Medicago truncatula: one gene and its partner. The main gene of each other region encodes a partner of the protein of the gene in region 2 in a complex. Links are inferred from orthologs where the notes say so. Each region holds a gene or a part of one and is shown on either strand. Other genes may lie near its edges.

Evidence for each region.
Region 1: DNA-directed RNA polymerase II subunit RPB7 (region 2) and DNA-directed RNA polymerase II subunit 4 share a complex: the UniProt entries of both Arabidopsis thaliana proteins name them as parts of the RNA polymerase II complex. The link is inferred for Medicago truncatula from reciprocal best matches to the Arabidopsis thaliana genes NRPB7 and NRPB4.

What each region holds. Positions count from the first base shown.
Region 1 is NC_053049.1:3,122,833-3,133,569, forward strand, and holds DNA-directed RNA polymerase II subunit 4, read left to right. Parts: upstream 1-5,443; 5' UTR 5,444-5,555; intron 5,556-5,674; exon of another isoform or gene 5,675-5,677; 5' UTR 5,678-5,692; coding exon 5,693-5,741; intron 5,742-6,662; coding exon 6,663-6,771; intron 6,772-7,119; coding exon 7,120-7,197; intron 7,198-7,713; coding exon 7,714-7,747; intron 7,748-7,873; coding exon 7,874-7,942; intron 7,943-8,763; coding exon 8,764-8,841; 3' UTR 8,842-9,162; downstream 9,163-10,737. Other genes in the region: E3 ubiquitin-protein ligase CHIP, read right to left, coding at 208-279, 1,283-1,346, 1,550-1,617, 1,715-1,822. UniProt on the Arabidopsis thaliana protein: DNA-dependent RNA polymerase catalyzes the transcription of DNA into RNA using the four ribonucleoside triphosphates as substrates. Second largest component of RNA polymerase II which synthesizes mRNA precursors and many functional non-coding RNAs.
Region 2 is NC_053045.1:46,416,322-46,427,606, forward strand, and holds DNA-directed RNA polymerase II subunit RPB7, read left to right. Parts: upstream 1-7,050; 5' UTR 7,051-7,176; intron 7,177-7,685; 5' UTR 7,686-7,723; coding exon 7,724-7,839; intron 7,840-8,258; coding exon 8,259-8,424; intron 8,425-8,536; coding exon 8,537-8,587; intron 8,588-9,140; coding exon 9,141-9,206; intron 9,207-9,323; coding exon 9,324-9,392; intron 9,393-10,598; coding exon 10,599-10,661; 3' UTR 10,662-10,891; downstream 10,892-11,285. Other genes in the region: 40S ribosomal protein S14, read left to right, coding at 1,225-1,227, 1,398-1,520, 1,616-1,661, 2,680-2,765, 2,954-3,083, 3,337-3,404. UniProt on the Arabidopsis thaliana protein: DNA-dependent RNA polymerase catalyzes the transcription of DNA into RNA using the four ribonucleoside triphosphates as substrates. Component of RNA polymerase II which synthesizes mRNA precursors and many functional non-coding RNAs.

The DNA of each region.
Region 1 (10,737 bases), on a different chromosome or scaffold from region 2:
ACATTTATCAATTGCACAAAGTTGTAAAATACTGAAGGTCACAAACAGAAAAGGGAAATAGTTTTTTTAACCAGTTAACACTTAAAACAAGTAAAGACGTAATCAAACTAAGAAGCACTAAATAATTTATTGCAACAGATATAACAAAATTAATTGATGTCCATGAAACACACAACAAGGGTGTTTGATGACAAATTGACGACAAACCTTTTGCAATTCTCGGATTCCTTTCGTATGTTCTTGTTTCTGTAGCAATGCAAGACCCAACATATAGTGTGCCTGAAATATGTGCAAAAGAAGATTCAGCTGGAAACAAGATAATCAAAACAAAGCACAAAGATGCAAACATTTACAAAATAATCAAATATAAGATGTAATGAGAAAAATATTCACACAGCCAGTGGTTTCACCAAACTCAGGAAGTCACTTCAACAAACAATTGATATATCAATCTATTAAAGTTCATATTTTGATATTGAAACACCTTCCAAAACTAACACAAAACAAGGCATACATATCTTGGTAGTTAATGTACTAGATCCCCCAAAGTTGTGTTTGGTTTAGACACAAAACTTAGCATCAATGAGTCAATAATATTAATATAATAACAAAGTTAAAAAAGATAATAATATTAAGTCGAGGTTTCCACGGAGATTGTTTGGACACCTGTACATCATCTGAGAGGTTTATAGCAAACATATGCATCTTACATAGCTCATCAAAATCATAAAACAATCTAAAATTTAGAAAACCCCCTTTAACGCAGCCCAGGAACCAACTAAATTTTAAGTAAAGAAAACATGGAAATAGGTTGAGTAGTTATTTGATAATTGAGTTGCAAGGATTTGTGTAACACGAATCCAACTCCTCAGAGATATGCAATGATCAGAGTTCTTAAAATTGTGGCCAAGAGAACTACTTAACGTTTCAAGAATCTATTAACATCGAGGAATTTGTATCCCCACGCATAAATAAATTTAAGAAAATGCAGAACATCACGAAAAGTTATGATAGGCTATTTAGCATCAATACCCAATCTGTTTTACGCCTAATCAGAATGTAAAGTCACGTGGATTGTTTTAAACCCAAAATGTGCATCGCGCGTGCATTTTCACGAATAAAGGGTCCGTGATATATAGCATTGCTCATACAACTAAATGTGCAAACAAATTCATTCAAAAGCAAAAGCAATATTCGTAACAGATGAATGAAGCCATTAAATCAACCACGAGCGAGACAAAAGGAGTAATTACAAAATAACAAACAGATCAATCATTATAACCTTAACAGAATGACTGTCCAGCTGAATTGCTCTTCTAGAATCTTCCTCAACCCTCTCCCATTCACTACAAATAAACCAAACACATTGTGGACACAATTGTAATCAATAAAACCTCCAAAATATCAATATTCCAACCACAATTTCAATTGCATACAGAAATCAAAACCCTAAAAATCCCACAACCCAAATTTCAAATCAAAATTAAAAACCCTAAACAATCAAAAACACCCAAAAAATCATAATCATAAAATTGATAAAAATACATACTTTCGTTTGAGATGACACAAAGCACGATTGGTGAAATAAACGGGAACATTAGGGCAAAGCGTAATTGCCTACAAAACAAAAAACCCATGTCAGAAACGAAACAAAGTTTTAATTTTTGCAATTGAAAAGAAAAGGGTTAGTAAAAACTGAAAATTTGGATGAAACCTCAGTGTAAGCATCGATGGCGGCATTAAAACGGTTTTTCTTGAAGTAATTGTTACCGTCGTTTCGCAAAAGTTCGGCTTGTCTCATCGCCGAAGCGTTTGGCCTCATTTCACTATATCTAATGTTTATATCTATAGGTGTAGATTATTATGTGAATGAATGAATTGATGTTTATAATGTGAATGAATTGAATGTGAATTGTAGAAATTTGGAGAAGAAGAAACGGAGAGTACCGATGAAGAAAGGTAACAACGAGTTTTTGGAAATATGATGTGAGTATTGAGTTGTACGCCTCGCAGTTTCTGTCATAAATCACGCTATGTATTAAATTAAATTAAATTTGTCAATATCCAGTCAAAATAAATTGTCATAAAATCTAAAAAATTTCTATCAACTAAATAAACAAACTGTGGAATATATTGTTTTTATATATCTTTCAAAAAAAAATATATCTGTTTTTTTGTATGTAATAATTTTTTTTACATATGTTGAAGGTTGTGTCTATTTTTTTTCTCTTTTTTTTTTTTGGTCTAATATCAATTACGTTTAAAAATAAAAAATAATTTGGATCTTCTCATGTTGTCCATCCTATTTTAATATCCGTCATTCAAAAACAATTTTATGTTTCTTCTTATTACTATTATTTTTTTTAAGAAACTTAATTTTTAGTAAAAAGTAAGTTTTATAATCATGAAAAGGGAGAACAAAAATATAATATAAATAGTAGAGTCTTCTTTTATATTAGATCGAGTTTATATTGTCCTCGTGAGCATAATTCAGTTGGTTCGAACCCCAGCCACCACAAAAAAAAAAAAAAAAGTTTATATTAGACAATTCCATATACGTAAATTTAACACAATTCATTTTTTTTTTAAAGAATAACACAATTCGTTTTTATAAGATCTATCTCAATTAATATTATCGCATTAATCCGGCCATTTTAATTTAAATTCGAACTTGAAATTTGGTGTGTAAGTTTAAATAGTGTTTTTCACTTCCTTCTTCTAGATGCTGAAAAAATATAACAAATTTTGGTTTCAAAAAATTTATACTAAATAATTTAGTGGTTATAGTTTCATCCATAAAGTGAATAAGTGAATAATTCATGATTCGAATATCAGTCTCTACATATTGCATCGTATTGTTCCTATCAATTAAATGTAGAGGCCGAGATATGAAGGAATCAAACCAATCGTGAAGGAGAGAAGAAAAAAAAAGAGCAGGCTCACCAAAGTTAAAATGCATTATGCACTTAATATTTTTCATTCTTAGGAGATCGAGACTATTAGTTATAGGATGCATATCATGAGTCAAGTCTTTTTTCTTCTTCTTTCTTCTAAGCTTAGATGCATTTTTGCGTCTTTAACTTTTAAAAATTGCAATTTTGACCCCTAAAAAGTAATAGCAATTTTTTACCTTAACTTTACAAAAAAATTGTAAGACAATCGAGAAGACGTCACATGTCAAAATATGGGACCAAAATTGCTATTTTTAAAAAACAATAGGTCAAAAGTACATATTTTTTAGGATAGAGGGCAAAAATTGATTTTTTTTTTGTTTGCGTTGTGCAATGTTTTATAAAGTTAATGGATCAAAATTGTAATTTTTTTGTTGGAGGGTCAAAATTACAACTTTTTAAAAATTAAGAGGAAAAAAAATACATTTAAACTTTTTTTTATTTCAATTATCAATGGTTTTGAAATATAATTGCAACAATATGATGATATTCGATAACTCCAATTATTTAATAATATACATTTAAAACTCTTCAAAGCTATAACTATGAAAAGAGAAAAAAAATATAGGGTGCGTTTGATTTGCTAAAAAATAAAGGATAAGACAGAACAACTCTAGTTGTCCAGTGTTTGATTTATAAAACTGTTTCAGGTACAGGACAAACTGGAGGCAAGCGACAGAACAAAAACTTATATTTTTGTCCCTCACCAAACCACATCACAACTTTTTATCCTACGTACAAGTTGTCTAAAATACCAAAATAACATTTTGTCCCTCAAAAATCGTATAAAACAAAAAATTACTCAATGCCATAAAAAATTTGTCCTATGCTGTTCTGCCTTGTGTTGTACTGTTCTATCTTATATTGTTCTGTCCGATACTTACTGTTTTGCAAACCAAACACACCCATAAAGAAAAAATAGCGAGAGGTTCTTACATGTATCCTTTACTTTTCTCTGTTTTTTTTTTAAGGAGATTCTGACCCATATTCGAACATTGTGTTTAATATAATTTTGTAAATAATCTTGATAATAATTTATTTGTTTCTATTTTTCTTAATTGGTTGTTAATTTTTATACTCAAAAGATCTTGTATTTAATTATGAATGAATTTTGAGGTCAAGATAGGATATTACCAAAACTTAGGGTCATGAAAGAATTTACAATAAATAAAATTTTATTGGATTAATAGGCCTTTACCCCTCTATAATATAGGGTACTTTCGGTTTTGCCCCCTGTAATTTTTTATTTAGATTCCGTCCTTATAAAATAAAGATTCTTCACGATTGCCCCCTAAGCCCATTGACTCAGTAGAATCTCTGATGTGACACTTTTTCTTTTCCATTTTTTTGTGCTTGTCACGCGTAAAAAATTGTTTACACGTCATTTATATTTAAAAAAACGAAAATCCTTTTTTAAATCGAAAAAAAAATTATTTTTTTTTCAAAAATTAAAAAAAATTTAGATTTTTTTTTTCCGAAATAGAAAATGTTCTTCTCTTTTTCAAAATTTAAAAAAAATTCAGATTATTTTCGAAATAAAAAAGTTTTTTAAATTTTTTTCTACAAAAAAAGAAAATTCTGAAAAATATTTTAATTTTTAAAAATCTGGATATAAATATTTTTAAATTCCAATTATATAATTTGAAAAAAATTTGATTTTATTTAAATTTTTAAAATCTTAACTTCAGATTTTTTTCGAAAATTTTAAATTTAGAAAAATTCAGATTTGTTTTTGAATTTTTTTATAAAATCATGAAATATTGTTCTAGAATTCAAATTTTATGAAATTTTGAATATAATTTTTTTTAATTGAAATCAAAATCTTAATTTCAGTTGTTTTTTCAAAAAAAATTAAATTTAGAAAAGATTTCAAATTTTTTCGAGAGTTTTATTCCTGAAATTTTATGAAATCTTTTTCGAAATTAAAAAAAATCAATTTTTTTTCGAAATTACAAATATTTAAAAAAAAATCTGAAACTTAATTCTCAAAATATTTTTTTTAGATAATATTATAATTTTCGAAGTTTTTTTAATTTATATTTGGATATTTTAGAATCTTTTTCGTAATTATTTTATAATTTTTTGAAAAATTCGAAATATATTAAATTTTAGATTTTCTTATAATTTTTTTCCTAATTAATTTGTTTATTTTATAATTTTTGAAAATTAATTTTGATATTTTTAAAATTTTTTATTTATTAATGACGTGTAATTTTTTTTTTACGCGTGACATTTAAAAAATAAATAAAAAAAGAAAAAGCCACGTAGTTGCCACGTCAATAAGATATTTTGATGACTCGAAGGGCTCGGGTGGCAAACCTAAAAAATCTTTAATTTACGAGGACGAATCTAAATTTTATTTTTCAAAGAAAAACTAAAAATGCCATATATATATTATTGAGGATAAAGACTTATTAATCCAATTTTATTTTATTTTAGTTTTTGAGAGAAATAAAGTGGTAGCTTTTATTTTTTATTTTTTTAAGGGAAAGTGGTAGCTTTATAAACGCTGCGTTTAACGTTGTCTAAAATCCAAAACGAGTGTTACTTTCTTCCCAGGTGAACGACACAAAGCCCTCAACTTCTCTCACCGTTTTGATTCTGGTTAGTTCGTTACACCGTTTCTTCTTCTTCTACTTCTTCTTCCCAATCACATCATTATCTTTTTGATTTGATTTGTACTAATTTCATTACTGATTCTGTGCTGACCTAATTGAATTCAGCAGAAGAAGGAGTGAATCATGTCTGGTGAAGAGGAAGAAAACGCCGCTGAACTCAAAATCGGAGACGGTAATTACTCATTCTCGGTTTTCTCCACTAATTTGCTTCTTTACTTGCGTTCTGTTTTGCTTGAATTACGTAGTGTTTCATTATTAGTAATTTTTTAAATCCCTAATTTGAAAATTTTACCTTCGTACATAGTAATTCTTCGTTCAGTGTTTCTTTGAGATCAGTACTTCATCTTCGTATGGTTTCAAAGATGTTTGAGCTATGATGTTTATATATCTTTTTTTTTTTTTTTTTTTTAAGGATGATGTTTATATATCTGAACATTTAACAAGTTAATGAATTATAATTATGTGTTTTATATATAAATTCGTATTTGAGTTAATGAACTAATGCTATTTTTTACCATAGTTGATACGCTAGCTTATGACGGATGAACTTATTTATAGAGGATAACCGATAAGCTAGCTCACAGCGGATAATCTAGTTGAATGAATTTGTACGAGCACTTGAGCAGAAAGCTGTTTTATAAGCTATCCTATAGAGTGTATAGAAATAAGCTGAAAACAGCTTATGAACATGTCATAAGCTGTTTTCTTAAGTTCTTCTCACAAGTGCTTATGCCAGTAGATAAGCTCAAGTAAACCAATCCAATTCCCTTATTCTTTTAGCATGTGCTACGTTGAATAATACCTAAACTCATATTCTGAAGTGATATACTATAATACTATCTATATTTTTAGGTGATTAGTTAGTATATGAGGGTAATAAGTAATGGGTGTTGCTTTGATTAGTTGCGGCGTATCACCATACTCCTTTCAGATAGCTATTTTATTACACCATTCAAAATCTGATTGGTTCATTGATAGACAACGATCTTATGTTTTGTCATGTTGGATTGATTGAACATGTTTCAAGTTTGGTATAATTGTTGTGACTTTTTGTTTTTTCGCTAAAGAAGTAGTTTTTTTTTTTTTCTTCCAGAGTTTTTGAAAGCAAAGTGCTTGATGAACTGTGAGGTTTCATTAATTCTGGAACACAAATATGAGCAGCTTCAGCAGTCGTCTGATGATGCCATGAATCAAGTTTCTCAGTGAGTTCTAATCCTGTATCAATGTTCATGTGTTATTCAGACGTAAAGTTCATGCATGCCATTTTTACGCCCCTAGCTAAATTACTTTTTATTCCGGGAATATGACATGCATTTGTTATGCTTAATGACTCCAAGATCTTTTATTTTGATACTATTGCTGGAAGAAGAGAGTTATGCTTTGATGTCTGCCGCTGTAATAATACCTAAATTAAATAACATGTCCTTGAACTTGCCAAACCCAATTTACATATTTTCAATGATGAATTTGACAACGATGTTGATATAGAAGCGGAGTAATGTTGTAGTTAGCACCTTAGAGTAATGTGTTTTTCCTTCTATTTTTTTCAGGGTATTTGAAAAGTCATTGCAGTATGTGAAGCGTTTCAGCCGCTACAAAAATCCTGATGCTGTTAGACAAGTTCGAGAGTATCCTCCAAAACTGAGCTGATGAACCCATTTTCTTTTTCTCATGATTCATATATTTACTTAAATGAAAATTGTGACGGTGTCCATCTCATTTCTTTCATAATAATGAATAATCTCGTTTTCTTTTATTTCTTGATTGACTTTTCTCTTGTCTTTCTGGATCCTGTGTTTCCTTTTAGGGTCCATTTGGTTGAGAGTGGTTGAAGGGGAGGGGATATTTTAAATCATTTATGTTTGGTTCAATTTTTAAGAGAGGGGGATGGGAGGGAATCAAAACCCCTCCTAGACCACTTTTTGCTTCCCCTCAAATTGGGGGGATTTGGAAGTGAGGTGACTAAAAACACTTCTAAACCATTTAAAATTCCTCCCCTCATTTTAAACCAAACATGCTTTTAATTAAAAACTCTCCCCTTTGTTGAACCAAATAGACCCCTACGTAATATCTCTTTCTATCATTTAATAAGAAATTTGAAATTGCAAAGCCCTGTATCAGATTGTGATCTTAACTGGCTTAAGAATTCTTGCGAGATATCAGTTGGCTGAATTTGAGGTAATATGACTATTCCTTTCACAAATTCGGTTTAGGAAGCAAGTTTTCACATTTTATTATGAGGATAAAGAAAAAGAGTTATAATTTCACACAATACAATTAACTGTTTCAATGAATTTATTGCAGCTGTGTGTCCTAGGCAATCTTTGCCCGGAAACTGTAGAGGAAGCTATTGCTATGGTTCCATCTATCAAGGTAGAAATAATTTGCCTCTCCTTCTTTCTGTAAACTTTTCCTGTTGGGCGGGGATGAGAAGGGTTTGTTTTTGGGAAGGAGTGGTGATGTTAGGTCAATTTTAAATGATTTGAATTCTCCCTTTCATGCTTGTTAAAATGAAGAAGGGGAGATAAATAAAGGCATGAATTGAATCAAATATGATGTTCTATAAATTTATCTCTTTGAATAAATTTCTATTAAAATTTTATCGAGTTGGTAGGAGTTGGTAGGACGGTAGTATTGTTTGATTGATGTGGTCAATACTATCTAGCAGGGAATAACTTATTTTTGGTGTAAAATTCTGTTTTGTTAATGAGCAAAATCAGAAATATCTACAAGTTTGGCAATTAAATTTACAAAAATTCCCAATATTGGAGAATTCATAAGTAAAAGCTGGAGGATTTTATTGGGTTACTATTTATCTCCGTAATGGCATCTCAGTTTTTATTAATATGTTTCATTTATTTTTCCCGCGAGCCTTCTGTTACATTGTTCTTTTACCATTTGCCCTCACCATAATATATTCCAGATTCATCATGGTTCAAAATGTTTTTTCTGACAGATAGAATTAATGAAAAAACTTCATTTTCTGGGTGTACGTGTGTTGTCCAATTTTAAACTTTACTTACCTCTATATGGTTGTAACCTTATAATAATTGATAGGGTGATTGACATTTGAAGTATTCTTGCACCCTTGTGGATCGTGGTTTTAAAATTATAGTACTGTTAAACATGGTCACACTAAATTTGTGTAACAACTAATACATCTTTTTTGTCATGTGTCATTTTTTAACATGCAGACAAGAGGACGGGCTCAGGATGATGAAGCAATTGAGAAGATGTTAAATGACTTATCACTGATTAAGAAATTTGAATAAGAGTTTCTTACAGTTCTTGTAAATCATGGTCAGTTCTGTGATGTACGGTAAGTGGTACTGTATAACATACCACTTGACAGCAAACAATGTGTTTTGTAGTTATTGCAGAACTCATGCTGGTAATATAGCTACCTTACTGTGACTTTTATTGAGGAGGATTTGAAAAAGATGGTATGTGGTGCATTGAGACTGTGTGTGGTAGGTTATGAACTTATGATGAAAGAACACTGATTATTGTCTTGCCTGTATTCTCCTATATGCAACAAAAGGGGAGCTATTATTTTTTTGCTTGTGACATGATTAGAGAACACATTACACACACCGGTTCCTATTTCCTACAAATGTGTGATAATTGTCTAGAAACTAAAGAGATACACTTAATGCAAATTACCGAACCCTATCTTCTAGGATATTAGATGCAGACACATGAGCTCACATTATTATTTAGATATGAAAATTTTCCTAAAATGAAAATGGATTGTGTTTTTTGATCCTTCTTCAAACTACAAACAACATTTTGTAGAAACTATACTTTGTGTGGCATTTCATTTCAATTTCATGTCGTATTTCATTATAGCAATTTCGCAAGAAGCAAGGATGCTCAGATATAACTGGATGGTATTATTCAATCTTTTTTGTAGAGGTCGTGTTAAAATAAGTAAAAAAAAAAAAAAAAAAAAAAAAGGCATCTCTCGTTCCCGAAAGAGCATTATGCATTCCAATGATTTCATGAATGCTTAGTGTGGATATTTTTTACAGCTTTTGGTGTATCATAAATTCCATGCAACCATGTCGATAAAAATAATCTGGATAACTCTGAACCTCATCAACGGAGGGGGAATTCCATATTTAGGCTGACTAAAAAATTCAGGCTTATGTTGAAATATTCTCAGTCTCATATTATGTCTCATATTAAGTGTCCTTTAAGGCTGGCTATTCACATTTTATAAATTTGAATAGCTAAGTGAGTTGAGTCGCATAAAATAGTCGCACAGCAAATTAATATTACATGATTCATTATTATTGCCAAAAAATATGATTAATTATTATTGTTTTTTTTTGTTGAAAGAACAACATAATGATTGTTCACATAATACTCAAACAACATTTATTTCATTTTTAAAGTCATTTTATAGTGTTCTTAATTTAAAAAAGAAAAATAAGTTATCTCCTCTGCTCCACAACCCAATTCGCAAACAAAACCTTAATGAACAACAAGAGACCGAGATAGAGGGAAAGAACTTCTGATATGCTTTTGTTGAGAGTAATGAGAATTGAAGAGTCCTTGGTATGGACCATTTTATGATCTTTTGAACAAAACTGAAACATATATAACTTCCAGGTCTTTTCACTTAATGCACATTGCAAAAAGATAGAACTGCAATTTCGTTTATAAAAAAGTTCATCTGCAGTTAAAATTTGAACTATAATTTGAATCTCTTTATCAGATTGTTTCAGCTTATAATTTATATTAATGAACCGAAAGTGTTACATACCAACATGAGAATTGTATGGTGGAGGTTTTCGAAAAACTTGCAACATCCTTACGATTATTTTTGGTATTATTAGAGTTATCAAAAACCAATTAATGCAAATATTAATTATTATTAAACAATATATATAGCTTATTTTATCACTAACAAGTCATCAACAAGTTATTTGAGTTTTCCTTAACCATACATCTTCTAGTTTTGTTAATCAAAACTGGGATTTCAACCAATGTCGAAGACTCAAATGGTTCTCCTTCCACGATTAATTATGCACCGAGACCATTGTCATCGCCGTATGAAAAGTATTTGAACAACTGTGCGTCCAAGTTATATCCATTATGTGGTGATGAGATTTTCTATACTGTGTTTTCTGGTAATCAAACAACTGGTACTGAATGTTGTTATA
Region 2 (11,285 bases):
TTGTTCTTGTGATACTTTGTGTCTTCAGTCCCTTATATAGAGGTTTGAGAGAGACGTTAAATTGTCAGCACATCCAAAATAGAGTCGTTTGAAGCTTTGATAATTCACCATTGATCCTTTGTCTGATATGGTTATTGTCGTATGAAGGATCAATTTCAAATGCGTTCCCAATGTGTATAAACATTGTTTGCAGGCAGAGCTGTTTTTCTCGTCTTGTAGCAGAGACAAAAACAGAGTAGTGAAAGTAGTGGTTGTACACTTCGTACAATCGTACTATGTCAACGCTCTTTGAAGAATTAACATCCAATGCATTTTAAACTAGCCGTTGTCACACTCTTCCAGTCTTCTTTAATTTTATAGGCGAATTAGAGTCCTTGAAACAGCTTTTGAAAGCTTGAGTTCCATCTCTTGATGAACTGCAGCTTCTAGTGATACATAGCTTCTGATGAACTAGGCTTCTGATGACATCATCACTTCAGAAGCACTTTGTCTTCAGGAGCACTTCAAACTCCAGGAGCAGGTTTCTTCAGACGCTTTAAGCTTCTCTTTTTGTTGATATTGTTACTCTTTATTTGTTCTTTCACGATCAATTTTAGATGTCAAATTTTGTCTATAGTCATGTACACTTGAACAAATATTAGCGTATCCAATTGACAATTTTTAATACTTTGTTATCTTCAAAACTCTTAAAGGGTTATTATTGCTAAACATATTTTGTTCCAACAGTCTTTCGTCGACAACACAGAACTACAAAGTACGAATGCAATGCTCTAAGGCACATGCTATGTTAGCATCTTTTAATATTTTTTTTTATTTGTACAATGTAAGAAAAGCAATTCAAGGATAAGTTCTAATAAAAAAAAAAAAACCGTTGTTAAATTGGATCCCTATGCATTGTTTCCAAAACAAAGAAGAATTAAAAAAGGAGTAAAATTTTCTATCTTTCGATAGAGAAACTGAGGGACTTCAGAGCAATACGGGGGCCTAAAGAACAATTATCTATATTTGGATAATTCCAACTTTTGATAGGCCCATATTTTGGGCTGACAGGCTCAGCTGCTACCAAAAGCTCACAAGCCCAACATCTACTTTCACAAAACCCTAATCCATAGATAAATTTCTTTTCTCCCATATAAACGAAAACCATCGACGCTTTGTTCTCTCTGAAGAGGAAGAAGGTGCACGCCGGCGGATTGAAGTAGGAACCCAACACCACCTTCAGCAATGGTACGTTAACTCCATAAACATTGATCTGTAATAATTTCACTACAAACACTTTATGGCTTTCAATTTCAATTTGTTAAGTCATTGAGCATACAAATAGATTTTCCTTTGAAATTGAAATATTTTTCTGTAAGATCTCATAGTTTGTGAAATGATTGGTTATGTGATTGTAGTCGTCGAAGAGAAAGGTTAGAGAGCCAAAGGAAGAAACAGTGACTCTTGGTCCAGCTGTTAAAGATGGAGAACAAGTTTTTGGTGTTGCTCGTATCTTTGCTTCGTTTAACGATACCTTCATCGTGAGTCTATTTTCCTTCTTTTTATCATTCATTCCAAATTTTGTGTTTTTTTTATTTTATTTGTTGGTGTAATTCATTGAATTGATTTATTTCAGCATGTGACTGATTTGTCTGGTAGAGAAACACTTGTCCGTATTACTGGTAAGTGTGTGTTTTTATTTCATTTCATTTCATTTAACATTAAATTTGCTCAATTGTTTGAAGTTATATTGAAATTTTTCTCTGTAATTTTAGTTGATTTGTGTGAAAATAAGTTTTTATCTCATGTATATTTGATTTACAAGATTTTTATGTTTGATATGTGCTTTGTGGAACTACGTTTTTATGGAACTGTTTGATTTTCAACTGATTATAAACTTGAGCAATGCCCAAAGTGAAGATTTGGGACCTGTTTGGTTAGTTCCAAATCCAATTATAGTGTGTGGCTGTGTGCACTTGTCATGATTAGGTATAAGTCGCATTTGGATTGACTTGTTTTTTAGCTTAAGAAAAATAGCTTATGCAAAAAAATAACCTTATGACAAGCTTATGAATAATACATAGAGGCTTATTTATTCCCATAAACTGTTTTGCATAATGTCAAAAAATAAGCTAATCCAAACAGGTCCATAAGCTATTTCTATAACAATAGATAAAATAAACTCAAGTGTTTTCATATAAGCTATAATACGTCTTCACAAGCTATTTTGGAAAATTTATAAAAATAAGCTGAAAACAGCTTATGAATGTCATAAGCTGTTTTCCCAAGTTTTCTAAGTCAAGTGTTTATGCTAGTAGATAAGCGTAAATAATCAATTCCAAACAGACCGTTCTTGCCATTTACAATTTTGCTCTACCGTTTACCAATGACCCTGATAATATAAATGGAGCAATTCTTCTATTGGCACAACACCAAATATAAATCATTTGGGCACACTCATATGAGAGTCACTTCAAATGAAAAATTTAAAAGAGAATAAAATTAAATGATGTTGATTGATGTGATTTAATTAATTTTGTTTTTATTTTTTTCATTTATGTTTGGGTGTGCCCAAATATTTTTCATTTGGGGTTGTGACCATAGTAGAATTGCTCATTTAAATGTATAAATCTTCGTTGTCATTAACCAGTTTGATGCATGTCTAAGTCTGTTTGTCTTATCTAATTTGTTATGTTTCAGGTGGAATGAAGGTCAAAGCTGACCGAGATGAGTCATCTCCATATGCTGCCATGCTTGCTGCACAAGATGTTGCCACCAGATGCAAGGTAATTGCATATATTTGTATCTTTTTATTCACTTGTGTTTTTTCTTGACAAGCGATTGCGTTGCTCTTTTTAATTTGATTGAATTCTTGTAATCTGATTGCTCCGCCTGTCGTATCAAATATTAATTGTTATTTCATTGGCATTTTCCATTAGCTGTCATAATTTGCTGATTCTGTGTTCTTGAACAGGAGTTAGGCATAACTGCTCTTCACATCAAACTACGTGCTACTGGAGGAAACAAGACCAAAACACCAGGCCCTGGTGCTCAGGCTGCTCTCCGTGCCTTGGCTCGGTCAGGAATGAAAATCGGTCGCATAGGTATTCCTTTAGTCCATTTTTAGGATGCATGTCTTGGTAAATTTGTTCCCTGCTGCTCTAAGCTGGTGATGTGGTCTATAGTTTTTTATGTGCTTTTGTTTTATGCGTTGTGTTTGTGAATCTTGTTTATGAAGTAATAGTTCTCCCTCCTAGTTACTCTTATTTTGTATTCTCAGCATTTGACGATGAGTTTCTAAGTTTTGATATCCAGCTTAATATCTAATTAGCTTGCCTTTTGTTTTTAAATTTGCAGAGGATGTGACCCCAATTCCTTCTGACAGCACCCGCCGAAAGAGTGGTAGAAGGGGTAGAAGGCTCTGAGTTTGCTATGGTATTATGGAAGGAGCTGCTTATGTTTTTATTTTGGTCACCGTGTTTTTGTTTCTTTCCAGACTGTATTGTGGCATATTCAAAAGTTCTACATGAGTTTATTTAGATACAAGTTAAGAGTCAAATGAAAGTTTTTCATGTTTCTTCTATGATTTACACTTTTGCGGATTTGATAAATTGCTTCATCTAATTTTTGTTTTGTTCTCTCATGTTTACTTTATACCGTATGAGAATTAGTACTTAATGGCATTGGTATAATTACCATTGAAATATCAATGGCTGTGAAATTCCTAGTTACTAGTATAGTGACCCGTGTCAGCACGGGGAAATAAAAATCTTTTTTGATCAAATGTATAGATTTTAAATTCGATATGAAATATCTAAACATTGCATATAACGATAAAAATATCTGGATTATTATACTTGTACTAATTATTTGTAGTATAAGATTCACTCATTGTTAAACTTAGCATATGTAGTCGGTAAATGCAAACGTTTAATTTTTTTACAAAGGTTTCACGATACACAACATCTGTGGTCTCCTTACAAACATTATTATCGTCATCCAGGATGAGCAGCTTTAGACCTTTTCTTGAAGTTACCCGAGAGACAGCGACATAAAGTTGTCCATGCGTGAACACAGGCTTATGAAGCTAAAACTCCATTCAAGATAAAGATTGACCTTGGCTTTTATTTATTGTCATTGCAAAACAAAGCGTCAAAGGAAATTGCCTGCGCCTGAATTTGAAGGGTAGTCCTGGATCATTCAGAATAAAATTCATCCTGGGAATGAATACCCTAGTACCTGCCCTTTTTCCTGTAATTACGGTAGCAACTATCGTGCTCTTCCCTAGATGTGTAACTTTCAGCCTAGTACCATTACACAGTCCATTGACCTGATCGATGTTTCTCATCAGCATAACTGGACATCCCACCTTTAGTTTCAACCTGTGATTTGGAATTCCAGAGCTCTTAATACCATTAAGAAATTTTGGTGTGAACCACTCGCTTTGGACATCAGAATTTTCACCCGATCTAAAAATAGAATCAGAGCTTAAATACTCTTTCTCTTCACCTGGAATCAGCGACATCATAAATTCGTTAACATGCTCAATTGAATCAAGCGTTGGTGCGAGTATTCCCCTTTCTTGGAAAAATAGTTGGTCACCAAGGTTATCATTTAGATCGGGATACACAAAGTCTATAAGTGACATCAACGGATTTGTTGTGTCTGATATCAGCAAATCTTCAGGAATTTCTACCTTCATTTCACCATTGTCACCCAAAGCATCGTTGCCGTCTCCAATTGAGAGTATCCACTTGCAAAAATTAGCAATTTCTTCCTGCTCTGCAGGTACCGAAGATGCACCCAATCTCATATTAACAGTAAGCCTCAACACATTACAATAAGCCCATATCTTTGACGAATTGACCGAGGCATTAACAATATCCGGTCTCGTTCCTCCTCAGACAACAGTTAATATCTGCCTAAAATCACCACCTAAAACTACAGTCAATATCTGTCATTCCACCAAGCGTTGGTGCGAGTATCCGGCCTCATTCCTACTTATGTTGATTGTAATTTGTAAACTTTGTTATGGATGTTTTCAATGGTTTTTTGTAGTTGCGCTAATAAAATCAATTTACCTTAGTTTAGTTATGCGATGTTAGTTGACCTATTTTAAAATTTGACATATTTGGTCTAAAATATGGCCATATGATATTTGAAGTTTTGAAGGGAATATCGAGGTTGAGTTTTTTTGTCATGAAATCACATTCTACATTATTTAAAACATTACAGATTTAATAAAAATGACAATGACAAAGGGACCAATTTTTAAAATAGAGGGTATGTGAAATGGTGAAAATACTGAACCAAACTTGCAATTGAACAGACAAAATTGTATAAGGTACCTTTTAAACACTAGAAAAAATACAATGTTTTTTTTATGTATGCAAATAAATTATCATTCAACAATTTATCTCTCCTACTATTGTGGATTTACAAATAAGTGTTATGTAGGAAGACATAAGTGTTATTTAGGAAGACATAAGTGTTATTTTTTTATTTCCAATAAATCTAAACCATTGAATTTTTTTAAAATTCTAATGGTAAAATATAAGTGGTACACCGGTGAGGGACTTAATTGCTCCTTCACCCTAGAATCCATCTCAATATATATGTGAAAGCAACAAATAATAACGGAATAAGCATATGTTAACCATAGTTTTAAAACTCGGCTCAACCATCGACTTGACAAAGGTATTGGGTCACTGGGTTAATGGTCGAACCATTGAGTCACTGGTTGAACCGCATGACTTAACCAGATTAAATCGGATGACTCGATCGAATAACTTGGTCTCTATATTAAACTTGTTTATGTAATATTAAATTAGGTTGAACAAGATGAATCAATCTCTAAAAATTTCAATTTTTTAAATTAGTTAAAAACTCCTAATTTTCTATATTCTTATTTTCTTTCTCCTTTTAAAATTTTCAAAATTAGGCTGTATATAAATGTTAATCGGAAGGAATGATGTCACACGTTTAAAAATATAAATACTTGCAACCAAAAAAATATGCATTCAAAAAACAAAAAAAGACAAACAAAAAGCTAAAATAAAAAAAAGAATATAAAAGTTGACCCGAGTCTAAGAGAAAAAAGGCCCAAGCCCATTGATCTCTCTCAAGGCATAACCCTAATTATAAAACCAACATTTTTTTTTTTGAAAAATGATATTTGAACAACCATTTTTTGACAATTTTTGTGACAACTTTCTCTCTCATACTCACATGATTATTCTACTTTCTCTCTCTATTGCTTTGATTTTTGTGCCACTATTTAAATTTCTTTGTAAAATTTGGTTGTCCAACAAGTTGTCACAATAAATGGTTATACAAATAACATTGCTCTTTTTTTTTACAAACAACACGTCTCTTAGTTATTTGCAGCCGCCGTTACATTTTGATTTTCCCCTTGTGCGATTCAAACACAGCGCAGCTTCTTTCTTGATGCTTCTTCTTCAATTGTTTTGTTTTCTATTTCATGTATTTCTTCTCTATACCTCTTTCTCCCTTCCTTTTCAGAAATTAATTTGAGCGACATCAATTTTTTGTTGTGCGATCTGCGATGGTGTTTGACCCGGTCCGAGTTGTAGAAACCGTCGGTTCATCGGTTTATTGAAAAAACCGGACGAGTCGTCCGATTCACACTGGGTCAAATGCATGACTGATCTAACTACTTACTTGAATCGGTTCTACCACCGGTTCACGGTTCGACTGGCCGGTGCTGGGTTTTAAAACAATGATGTTAACATATCTATCCGATTTTATATACAAACAAATAATATTTTTTGAAATCGAATAACTTATTGGGTGTGTTTGGTTTGCAAAACAACTAGTATTGGACAGAACAGTATAAGATAGAACAGTACTACAACACAACACAAAACATATTTTGGTATTTTATACAACTTGTGCGTGGGACAAAAAATTATGCTGTGGTTTGGTGAGGGACAAATATGAGTTGTTCTGTTCTGTCATGTCCTTCATTCTTTTAGCAAATCAAACGCACCCATTTAATTTATCTATAATAGAGTCTTATAGCAAATATAGTCTAAATATATCAATTATTCTGTAAATAAAAAATCGATTCTATAGATATATGAAAAACAAAAAAAATCCCCAAACAAGTCTAAAATAAAAACCGTGATTCCTCTCTCACTTCTTCCCCCGCAGTTCTTAGCTTCATCAACGAACAAGGTTCGTGTCTACTCTCTAGTTTCCCTATTTTCCTCTCCCCTATCTTTTCGAATTGAAGTGCGAAAACAGCGACTAGCCTTTTCTCCATCACTTCAAGAGAGTAACGAGGGTTAACACTCTAATTAACCACATATTCAGTTAATATTAGTTATTGCATAAGCAAATATTACAATCGAAGAGCAAATTAGGCTAAACTCTGTTTATTACTTCACAAAATTACCCGAACAATGAACTGTTACTAGGGCACACTTTCTCTCTAATTTCATATCCATTGAATTTCATCGACAACTTGTGATTTTTTTTTATTCGTTTAACTTACTATGTTATTTTCATTAGCGTTGGGAATTTGGGTACATTCATATATATCTTTTCATCTTTCTTTCATTGTTTGAAATGAAGTTAGTTGGATTTTTATTCGATTTAGGGTTTATATGGTTTTGACTGTTTTTTTTTTTTTTTTTTATGGTATTCTTTGAATCTACTCTTATTATTTGTTTTGTGGCCACAAGTAACTGTTCAGGTTCGGTGAGAAGGGAGAGAAAAGAAAATGTTTTTCCACATAGTGCTGGAGCGAAACATGCAACTGCATCCACGCTACTTTGGGCGTAACCTTCGTGATAATCTTGTTTCCAAGCTAATGAAAGATGTCGAAGGCACTTGCAGGTGATTCACCTTAAGATCATTTCACTCTTTTTTACAAAACCATAGTTCTAGTAATTAAACTTAGGACAAAAGATGCCATCACTTGAGATTTTTTCACTAACAGACTACTACTTGAAGAATATGTACTATGTTGTCTTTGATTTCTTTTCAATTTTGTTTTTGTTTATCATTTGAAGAAGACAAATTAAATAGAACTGCACTTTGAGCATTACTTGATGATGGAAACAATTTCAATTGAAATAAAGGGCCAGTAGAACAGTAACAGACCTCTTTAACCCCAAACTAACAATATCTGTGATAAGCCTTTTTGTGTCTTGGACTAATTTTGTTTGGAAATAAACCTGTAATAATTTGGATCAAACTGTTTCTGTTTTGGACTTTGTGGTGATGCAATTTTTGGGCTTTCAACTATTACGCAGTGGACGACATGGATTTGTGGTGGCGGTGACGGGAATTGAGAACATTGGCAAAGGAATAATTCGGGATGGGACCGGATTTGTGACATTTCCGGTTAAGTACCAATGTGTTGTCTTTAGACCATTTAAGGGAGAGATCTTAGAAGCTGTTGTTACCATGGTGAACAAGGTTTATGCAATTCCTTTCCCCTGTCTCTACATTTTACTCATTAGCTTTATCTAGGTGTCTGACTCTGCTGTGTTGATAAAGTGGTTTATATTATTGAGTTCTGTTTGTACAGATGGGTTTTTTTGCTGAAGCTGGACCAGTTCAAATCTTCGTTTCCAACCATGTAAGTTCTTTTATAACCTTTGACAAAAGGCCTCTATCATCATCTTCACCTTACACACTTGTACCTAAGATACTGTTATTATTGTTCTTCATTTTAAGCCCTAAAATCATGATTCTCATTTATTGAACTTGAGATTAGAGTAGTAAAAGACATAACCTGTCTTAAGTTATTCTTTCATATTGAAAAATTAAATGCACATTCCAAAAAAAAGAATTACGGAATGCTGTCCAAACTTGTTGAACTCAAGTTGCATAAGCACTTATGTTCTTCTGATTTCTGAATAATGGAAAAGAAATCGACTTCTTGTTTTGTCATTTGTCATATTGACTATATAGTATTTACACTAGAGATCATTATCTCCAATGCAATTCCTCTTTTAGATGTCTGTATGAAAATGGTTTTCATTGATTTCTTGCTAGGTTTGAAAAAAGGATAATTTGCAAGCTTTGAACTGTGACCCGAGTTTAGTCTCCCCCGTAGCTATTCTGTTTTGCCTTTGCTACTATTTCCTCATGTATTTTTGTCTTGATCAGACCCTTTTTTCTCCTTTCAGTTGATTCCAGATGATATGGAATTCCAGACTGGAGACATGCCAAACTACACTACTTCAGATGGATCGGTACATATCATTTATAATAATTTCTCATTGAAGAGGAAGAGAGCAATTTTTTTTTTTAGGTGTTCAATTTAATGTGTTTTCTTCTGTTTTTGGCTTTGATCGTTTGTTTTTTTGCAGGTTAAGATTCAGAAAGACAGTGAAGTGAGGCTAAAGATAATTGGGACTCGAGTGGATGCTACTGAAATTGTAAGCCTGTATATATTGCAGCTTTTAGTTTGCTTTTATTTATGTTGTTAAGCTCCATCAGTTTTATGTGAAATTATACTTTTAAGAAATTCAAATTAATAGGATATGAAAGCACTGTGGTCTGTGCCAGATATAGCTTTCATTTCTTGCAGGTCTGCTTACTAGTACAAATTGCTAGAGAACGGCCTTAGTTTATGATAGTTTGATTTTTAAGTTCATGGTAGGACCCTTGGGCCTTATGACACAGGTGATCCAATTATAAAAGCAAATATGAATAGACCCACTACATGGTAGGTATACACGAGCAGGGGAAGACTGGGGTCAGTGGGGAATAGTGGAAGTTAGTTATGAGGGGTCCCTAGATTTTATTTGAAGGAGGGAGAGTCTAGGTGTGAGGGTATTCCGGATTATGCTATTGAGCTGGGTAGGAGATAATATCTCTCTGGTTAGGAGTCACTGACTCTGGATGTACTTTTATTTTCATTGTAGAGCTAGATCTCATTTCCTTTTATGAAATAATGCACTGTCGCATTGCTCATAACTGTCGGTTTCTATCAGTTTATATGATTCACAGGCTTAGCAGTAGTGATCTGTACATACCATAAAAGTGGCGATAAATTTATGCTAGTGTTTTACCACTTGGTTAATCTTTTATCACCACCATTCCAACAACCATGTCAACAGTGATCAACATGGAATGTGAAAGTGACTACCAAGTATAGGTTAATCTTTTATCACTTTTGTGGTTTGCAAGAATCATTCTTCATGACTGCTCCATGCTGCAATTTTACTTTACTACGGTAGTAAGATGCAGAACATGGTAGAACTAGTTGATGTTACTTGTCTGATTATTGTTCCTATTTCCTTGCATGATTATCCTGTAAGATGTCTTAATTAACTCGTGATAGTGATGGCCTCGCAGCCTAGTTACCGTTTTAGCATTAGATAATGTTTTTTTTCCAATATTTCTTAATGAGAATCAAGTATACTCTTGCACATGCTAAGCCTATTTTTTCATTCCCCTCACTCTCCCTTAGGGCTATAACACGAATACAATGAACACTGACCAGTGCAACTCTTCAGTTTCTCATAGCTATTAAATTATTTTTCCTTTGATCTTTTGTATATAACTATTTATCATGTTTTATGGTTTCACTATCTTCAAGAACTCATTTATTTAATGTTACATATTATCCACTTTTGCAGTTCTGCATAGGTACCATTAAAGACGATTTCTTGGGTGTGATCAACGACCCTGCAACAGTTTAAATTCACCTTTATGTACCCTTCTATCGTATAGTTTTAGTGGCATACACCTGATACTCATCATGTTGGTGTAACTCTGTTGCATAAATTACCAGAGTTACTTAGTTGATGTATCAAATTCTCTTATTGATTACAATTTGTGTATGAATATTTTCTATCTGTCAATGTCAATTACCTTTGTGCTGTACCCATAATTAATGGCAATATTTTCAGTCCTTCCTTTTACTAAAAAACACTGCATTATTTGTTTACTATTTGGGTCAAGAATTAATTTTTGGGAAGCAACGCAAAGTAAGATGTCCGGGTACTTTTTTTTGTTGGAACAAACAGGTACTATTTTAATACGAAATGAATCCCTTCCTGCCTTAATTTATCCGGCAGTTTCTCTTGTCGTTGGATTAATCCAACGGTTTAGTGGTAAACAGAGAAAGTGTGTGTGGTTCATTTTCGACTTTCATGGGTTTTCTTCACTTTCGACTTTCATGGGTTTTCTTCACCTGCTGTTGTTGTTCTCGAGTTTTTTACAATACAAGAATGGTGATTTCAGTCACCCAAAATACAAATAAATTGAATCAATGTCACCCAAAATACAAATAAGTTGAATCAATCTTCACCACACAACCTAGA